2 linked regions of the Drosophila melanogaster genome follow. The protein of the gene in region 2 interacts with the protein of the main gene of each other region in a pairwise test. Each region holds a gene or a part of one and is shown on either strand. Other genes may lie near its edges.

Evidence for each region.
Region 1: the proteins of Fur1 (region 2) and Rassf interact in a two-hybrid assay, tested with the Drosophila melanogaster proteins (one large-scale study listed by BioGRID).

What each region holds. Positions count from the first base shown.
Region 1 is NT_033777.3:23,115,966-23,119,886, reverse strand, and holds the start of Rassf (Ras association family member), read left to right. Parts: upstream 1-1,955; 5' UTR 1,956-2,348; coding exon 2,349-2,388; intron 2,389-2,462; coding exon 2,463-2,557; intron 2,558-2,623; coding exon 2,624-2,806; intron 2,807-2,872; coding exon 2,873-3,061; intron 3,062-3,114; coding exon 3,115-3,921. Other genes in the region: CenB1A (centaurin beta 1A), read right to left, coding at 1,046-1,098.
Region 2 is NT_033777.3:25,471,264-25,475,184, forward strand, and holds the start of Fur1 (furin 1), read right to left. Parts: upstream 1,796-3,921; 5' UTR 1,219-1,795; intron 1-1,218. Other genes in the region: Vps33B (vacuolar protein sorting 33B), read left to right, coding at 2,253-2,309, 2,365-2,465, 2,523-2,841, 2,906-3,921. UniProt on the Drosophila melanogaster protein: Furin is likely to represent the ubiquitous endoprotease activity within constitutive secretory pathways and capable of cleavage at the RX(K/R)R consensus motif.

The sequences.
Region 1 (3,921 bases), 2.4 Mb from region 2:
GTGTCATCCATCGATTTGTCGGGCATTGCTTTTGTTTTAACTTTGTGTTTATTTTCTTGGACGTACTCGTTCCAGAGGCTAGCTACATGGTAATTTCGAATGGAGGTCTGTCTATTTCAGCAGTCAATTCATTCTGAGAGTGGCTTTGAAAAGTCGTATTCCGTGATAATATTGCTATCATACACAGTTTTCATTTTAAACTAATGGCTTTCGAAAGCTTCATATATCTTCAAATATGTGTTCGTCATTCAAACGATTGAGCCAAATGCACAATGAGTTGAAGTTTTTGATAAAAAATAAATCGTTTAATTCTACTTAAAACTGGAAACTAGTTTAAGCTAGTTTAAAAAAATGCATAACATTGATACATTTTACTATGGTTGCGATAATATCTGCCTAGTTCTGAAGCAATAGAAATGTCCTACTTTACAGATCCTTAGATTTCTTATTTTTTATATGCATGGCAGAAAAGTTCACATATGATTCACATAATTTATTGTAGTGTACTTCGGTTTCGAAACACCAAGGTCAAGTTGGCACTTCCACAAATGATAAAAGAACCGAAGTGCAGGAGAATCCAAGATAGTCTTGATTTCCTGTTTTCTTTCAAGTGAAGCTGCTGCAGGTGCGAAAAAGTGGGGAAGATGTGATGGGGCTGCTGGGCAAACAAGTTATCGCCGCGTTTGTGCACCGTTTTACGAGGGAAAGCTTTTGTCTTTGGACACGATTAGTGGAGAAGCGGCAATTTGGGTGAAATCTTATCAATCAGCGGCGGGCATTGAAGCGTTCGCGGACGGAGACGAGAGCATCGGCAATTTAATTGCGGAAATAAAGGGGCAGGCAGGCACATTCCACACTGCTGACGGGACAAAGTTTGTTCGATGGATGATTAAGCCGCGTTTTCAGGTGGAGCAGGTGGGGCGGTGTTGGGCTGTATCTGGTTTTGGATAGTAACCAGTCACGCTACATGGAGCAATTCGAATCTCACGCCAAATGCGGCTCAGGATGGGCACACAGTGGGGGCGGGGCTGCAGCTTATATGCACCTGAATCTGGGAGAATCCTTCAGGCACTCCTCGAACTCGATGGTGGCGCGCATTTTGGCCACCACGCAAGCAGCACCTAGACTGCACTGCTGGCTATTTCGCTACGCTAATTGAGGCCCGTGAATCTTTGTTGGCCTGTTGCTGCTGCTCTGCTTTGCTTTGCTTTCCTTGCTGAAGTGGGGATTTCGATGCGCGATTTTCGAGGGCGGCTCTGGGAGAAGCTAATTGCGGGCAGCAGGAGATATGGTGATTAGTCGCATCCTTGGCAATCGACGGCTACACACGTTGAGCACTGGCCCTAATTAGCGAAACTCGCCAATTTACGCGATTCGGGGCCGAATTTACCAAATTTACACAGCGCGCAGAGACAACAAATTAAAACGTCTCACTTTCTACTAGAGCAGATCGGTGTGCCCGCACTCGCAGCGAAAACAAATCTAGCAGCGCGAATGGTCACACACTTTGGCGGGCTTATTTGCTTTTGCTCATATCTTTTAAAATTTTAAATGTATTGAATGCTTAGTGTTTTCCTTGTGCTGATTTTCGTTTTAAAACTCGATTAGTTACGAAGATTTCAATTCAAAGGCATAAAACAACGCACATTGACATTGTCAGCACGGTTTATCAGTGTTGGAAACTTTTGTAGCTAAGAAGAAGCTAATTAGGAACTTAAATTCCCTAAAAGAAGATACAGCCCAAAAAAGATTTGGGTTCTAGCCATAATCAATGTAGATGTATTTAAAGTACAAACGATGACAATTTTAAACACCAAAACAAGCAAATCCGTTTCAAGCTACCGCCAGCCAAGTCAAATCTAGCTACAAAACAGATCAGCTGACAGCACCGCTGGATTTTAGGGTGCCCGCCTTGTGCGACAAGAATCCGCGGCCAGTGCTGCACAAGTGCCATTTTTCATTTCATTGTTCTGTTCTCTTTCTGCTGGTGCTGTTTTGGTTTAAGTGCAATTATCCACACAAGTACGCACCGAAAACCGATGCACCTGCACCGTGCACCAAGTGTGGGAGTGCCCAGTGCCAGTTTCATTTATAAAACTATGAGTTTCGCACGGCAACCAGCGCAGCTGACCGACTGACCGATCAGAGTCTCACGTCCCCCCTCGCCTCATGTGTTTACCCCTTGTCCAGCGTTCTATTTGCGTTTCGTGTCCGCTTTAAATCGCCTCATTTGCATACAACTCGACGGCTTTACGTCACAACTCTTTAAAATCGGCGAAGTAGAGGAGGAGGAGTGAAACACGCCCATTCCCGGAGGAAGCATTAGACCGACCTGTTTGGAATCCAGAATGTGGAAGTGCCACAAGTGCGGCAAACCCGTTTACTTCGGTAATGCACCCACACACGAGCGCATTGCGATCCGTAAATAACTTGTAAATTATATTTATTTATGCCCCGCACAGCGGAACGTAAACAATCGATCGGCTACGATTGGCATCCGGAATGTTTGCGCTGCGAGGAATGCGGCAAACGCTTAAATCCCGGCCAGCATGCTGAGGTAGGAGGATCACCTGTTAGTTAGCCGATCATGTGATCTATATAAAGCCTTTTGTTTTCCTTTCAGCACAAAAGTGTGCCCTACTGCCATGTGCCCTGCTATGGCGCCCTGTTTGGACCCCAGTTGTTTGGCCACGGCACCCGGGTGGAATCGCACAAAAGCTATGGGGTGAAGGGAGCCCAGAAGCCAACCGGAGCTCAGGCCAATGGCCCGCCACTCCCACGTGATCACCTGGAGTCCAAACTTAAGGTGCAGAACGCAATACCCAGACATATCAATATCTCATGACTCACCAAATTCCCTTTTAATGGGCAGGTCTACAACCAATTCTACGACAACAAAAGCCTGGAGATACGTAGTCGTGAGGTCAACAACCGGTTGGTGCTGGAAGGCGCGCTTAGAGTTTACTGGGGCGTGCAGGGAGTGATTCATCTCAAGGAGGACGATGATCAGCGCATCTTAGTGCGCAAAAGGAACTCTTGCCGTGTGTCCAAGGCTGCCAATGTAAGCTGAATCTATAACATAACAAAACGTTATTTATACAATTGTACCCACAGGAAAGCAGTTCGGATAAGGAAAACGAAGCTAGCGAATCGCTGGCTCCGCCCACCACCACCACAGCCGAGGTCGATCAACTATCCACGGATGTTTCCCTTTCCGAGAGCATGACCTTCGACTCCTGTAGCCTGAACGAGATCTCCGAGTTGCCCACAACCCCAGAAGATGCCTCGGCCAACACCACAGCCAACAGCAAAGAGCAGACCAATGGTAATGTGTGCAACGACGACGAGGATACGACCACGACGGACTCATCTGGAACCCTGGTGGAGGCTCCTACTGCCAGCACAAGTTGTGTGTCCAGCACATTGCCTTCGAAGTTGGACCGTCTGGAAAAACTGGATTGGGACGACATAGACGATCTGCTGCAGGTAGAGAGACGTCACAACGACAAGGATCGCATTTATGAAACTATGCCTGTCAAACTGCCGTCGTCGCAATCCTCCAGCGACAGTTCGCCCAGCAAAACATCCACAGAGACCACTACGACCACTGAATCAAGCTCGACTCAATCGGCATCAACAAACACCAGCAGCACGGATGATTTTATGACCGCCACGGGATCGTTGACTGCCAACACCAATACGCAGAATACAACAACGGTGTCTACTACTGAGACCTCTCTGGATAACTTCGAGACTTGCGATGACGCTACCCTGAAGCCTATTGATTTCGAGGACTTTAAGCGTAGTGTCCACCAGGACTATGTAAATGGGGCCAACTCCTTTACGGAGCCCAATGAGGGCACCCTTAAGCGTAATCAACCAATTGATCCCTCTCGCATTCACGACTCCCTTAAGCTCTAC
Region 2 (3,921 bases):
ACGCCGATGGCCTCGATAAACTCAGCGGAATTTCCCATTAACGGGAATCCACATCTTCTTTAATCCAACTAACGATTAACCACTCTTATGAGTAATAATAAAATGTCGCATTAGTCGGAATAAAAATTCATTTCAAGTAAAGATAATTAACTTGCTTTTAGATTTATTCCTAAAGCGGATCCTAATGATTTTTTCTATATCTAGTATATAATGGTGAAACTAAGCAGTAATACTAATTTCAGCACAAGAAAATCAAATTGTTTGTATTTTATGCAATACAAACAAATCTCTTAAGATTTGTTTAGTTCTGAAATGATGATTCATGTTTAAAATTTCTCGCACTTTCGAGAGCAAACCTACAATTATAAAAAGAAAAATAATATGAACGCAAATTTTACATTATTTATGCTTTCAATTATAAAACAATAAATATTAAAAAAAATCATATATAGTTGAAACATTCTAACGTGACTCTCCTAACAAAACATACTGTTGCAAAACCTGTTCTAAGCTAAACTACTTAAAAACCTTTTAAAACTTGTAGGCAATTAGCAAAAGTTGAACAGTCTGGGCAAAAATTAAACTTTTAAATAAATCGAAAGGCCAATAAATTATAAAACCCATGGCAAAAACTTATTTTTAATGGGAGAGAGGGAAATACAAACAAATAAAGCATAATTGGGAGGGGCAACAAGAACAACAACAATAAGAAACGGGCATTAGAAAGATGAGCACGAAGAAGAAGATGCGATTAGAAGGCACGGGAGCGCAAAGAATAGAAAAATTAAAAGTAATCTAAACAGCAACCTGTGCAGCGTGCCCGAGCGAGACAGCTGCTCAAACCGGTATCGCAACAACAATTGAACCGCAAAGAAAACGCGAAGAAGACACACACACGGACTATAAGAAAATAATGTTAGCCACTAAAACAAAAACAGAACGAAGCGAAAACACAAAGATAATGATTGACAAAGGCAACAATGTACAACTGCAAGCAGGACAGAGTGAGAAGGAGAGAGCGGTAAAAAAGAGACGAATCTGCGGCACAAAAGAGAAGACGAGAACATGCAACAAGCTGCAATTGCCCAAAATAACAACAACAAACCAGACCGCACGGCTATTTTTGTCATTAGATTAAATATTTCACATATTTTTGCACAGTTTCACCCACATGCGCCAAACCCAAATTATTTATAAACAATGTAAGTGCAAGCTCACCTGATAACTGCAAAATAGGCGCCTGTAACTTTTGATAATATGGAAAATCTCAATTTAAATTTGTTGTTGGCTGTTGCTTTGCTTGTTGTTGCTGCCGCTGCTGTTGTTGTTGTTGTTGAATTTCACGCGAAAGCAGGCAAGACAACAACATAAAATCACAAACACTTGCACGCACATACGTCACACACACCCGCACACACACTTGGACAGCTGAGACATAAACACACGGAGAGCAAATCGCAGCGAGAATGGGAGAGAGAAAGAGACAGAGAGCGATAACAAATTTGTTTTCTGGTTTTTCTTCACGATTTTATTACACGCTTTTCGAATGGCTAACCATATTTTGATTCACATTTAATTCGCTCCAATCACAGTGTGTTCCGTGCGCTTGCTAATTTTCGATTTTCCACCGCAGAACTCCGCCCGTTTTGCTGCTGTTTTGGCAATCGTCTCTCTCCTGGCTAAAAACATATGATTTCGGTTGACGGAATCACGATAAAAACACATAAATGCGAACAGGGCGCGCGCAACAACTTCCCACGACAAACTCTCGCTTCGGAATTTGGAACGAAACTGCCACTTTTGCAGCGAATCGCGCTTAAATACCCGTCTAAAGATGGGAACGCATGGCGAACCGGTTCGATAGTTCGTGAGCGAACAGCCTTCGCACAGTGGTATGCAATCAAACTGAGCAGTAGATTAAGTACTTTTGTTTAACAAACCGGATAGCTCGAACTTTGAAAATAAGTTTTGGATCGGCAGGAATTAAGACTGTGCACAATTAATGCTTTTAATGGTGACTCAACACTTTGTGACGTCAGTAGTAGCATAAGTTCAAAATAATTAATTTGAGTATAGCTTTTGTTTAATGTATTGTATAGAATAACTAGTAATACTGCTTTTTTGACTGCGATAAACATTTACGTAATAAAAACTGCATATATTTGCTTTGTGACAACCCTATTTTATTTTGCGTGCGTCACCTTACATTTTGCTACCTTGCTGCATCAGCTGTTTGTGTTGTGCGGCGAAGAATGGATTTGACGCTGGACAAAAAGCTGCAGGGATTCCAGTTGGTGGCACAAGAAAAGGTATAATAATGAATCGGAAGAGTGAAACTATTAACTACCTGCAATTCGACTGCAGCTTTGTTCCATACTATGTAGCATACCTGGAAAGAAGGAGTTAATTTTGGAGCCCGACTTGATAAAGCCACTGGAACATGTTGTCACTGCCTCCTGGCTGAAGTAGGTGTTTAATCCATATTTTATGGATATTTACGTCTTATATATACCCCTTAACAGGTTGAAGGGCATACAACGGATCTACAAACATGATGCGGCACAATCTTTGCCCCGATCCGCCGATCAGGTGCACATCTACATGATCCGCAGTGTTTTGGGTACATTTCAGACACTTCTCAAGCAATTGCAACCCGTGGCCTCAGAGGAAATGCCCGACATCTCCATGAAAATGTATCACATAGTCTGTGTGCCCAGTTGTTACTCCTATTTTCAAACCCTGCTGGAACAGGCTGGTTTGTACGGACTGGTGCAACTTCATCACTTTAACTGGGACTTCATCTATTTTGATCAGGGAGTTCTCAGCTTGGAGCTGCCCAATGTGAGTAGATGTACATTGAACATTCAGAAAAGAGTCTTTTATACTGGATATTCTTATTATTCAGCTTTACGAGTGTCTCTACCTGCAGAAGAACACATCTCCATTGCCTGCGGTGGCCCAGAGCCTGCGATTGCTTCAGATGATTTGCGGACAACCGTCTTTGATTCTGAGCTTTGGCCACCACTCGTCGCAGCTAATGCAAATGGCGAAGACTCTTGGCAAACTTCCGGCGCCCACAAATCCTCCAGACTATGGCGGCTGGCTGGTCATCGATCGGGATAAGGATTACCCCGCCAGCTTGCTCACTCCGGCCATCTATGCAGGTCTTCTCTTGGAAGTTTTCGAGCATAGTTCTGGCGAGATTCTGGTAGACAATTCCAAGAACAAGATCCGCAGCCAGCGTGTGGAGTTACTCCAGGGAAAGAAATCCAAGATAGGCGTAAACTCAGCCAGCAAGCCGTGTTCCATTCGTCTTAACTCCACATCCGATGAGATCTACGGCGATAATCGGTACAAACGATTTGCTCAGGTCAGCAGTTTGATTCACGCACAAGTAAAAGCCCTGGGCTTGGAACTGCAGAAACTCAATGACATGCAGCTGGACGAGATGCATGACTATGTGGCCAGGAAGCTACCCAAACTAACCGAGCTTAAGAGCAAAGTCCTTAGGCATCTGAATGCCAGCGAGATTGTGATCCAAATGATGGGTAACTTCAGGAAGCTCCAAACGCTGGAGGAGGACATACTAAACAATGATTCAAGAAAGCGATTGCTAAGCGAGATCGACGAGCTGTTGACCACAGATGGTCAGAGATTTAATACACTGCGACTGCTGTGCCTCTTGCATCATTGCGTTGGCGTGGCGCCCGAGGAGCTGCAGATATTTGCGCGGAACTACTGCAATCTGTTTGGACACCAGGAATTGGGCGTGTTCCAGCAGTTGTCGCAGGCGGGCTTGTTGCCACCACTTGTGGTGGAGAAAAAGGCGCCAACGAAACTGCTCTCAAATCTACCTCTGCCCAAGTTCCAGCAAACGGAGTTTCAGGCCAATGCTAATCGGCTAAAGCTGTTGACCTCCAG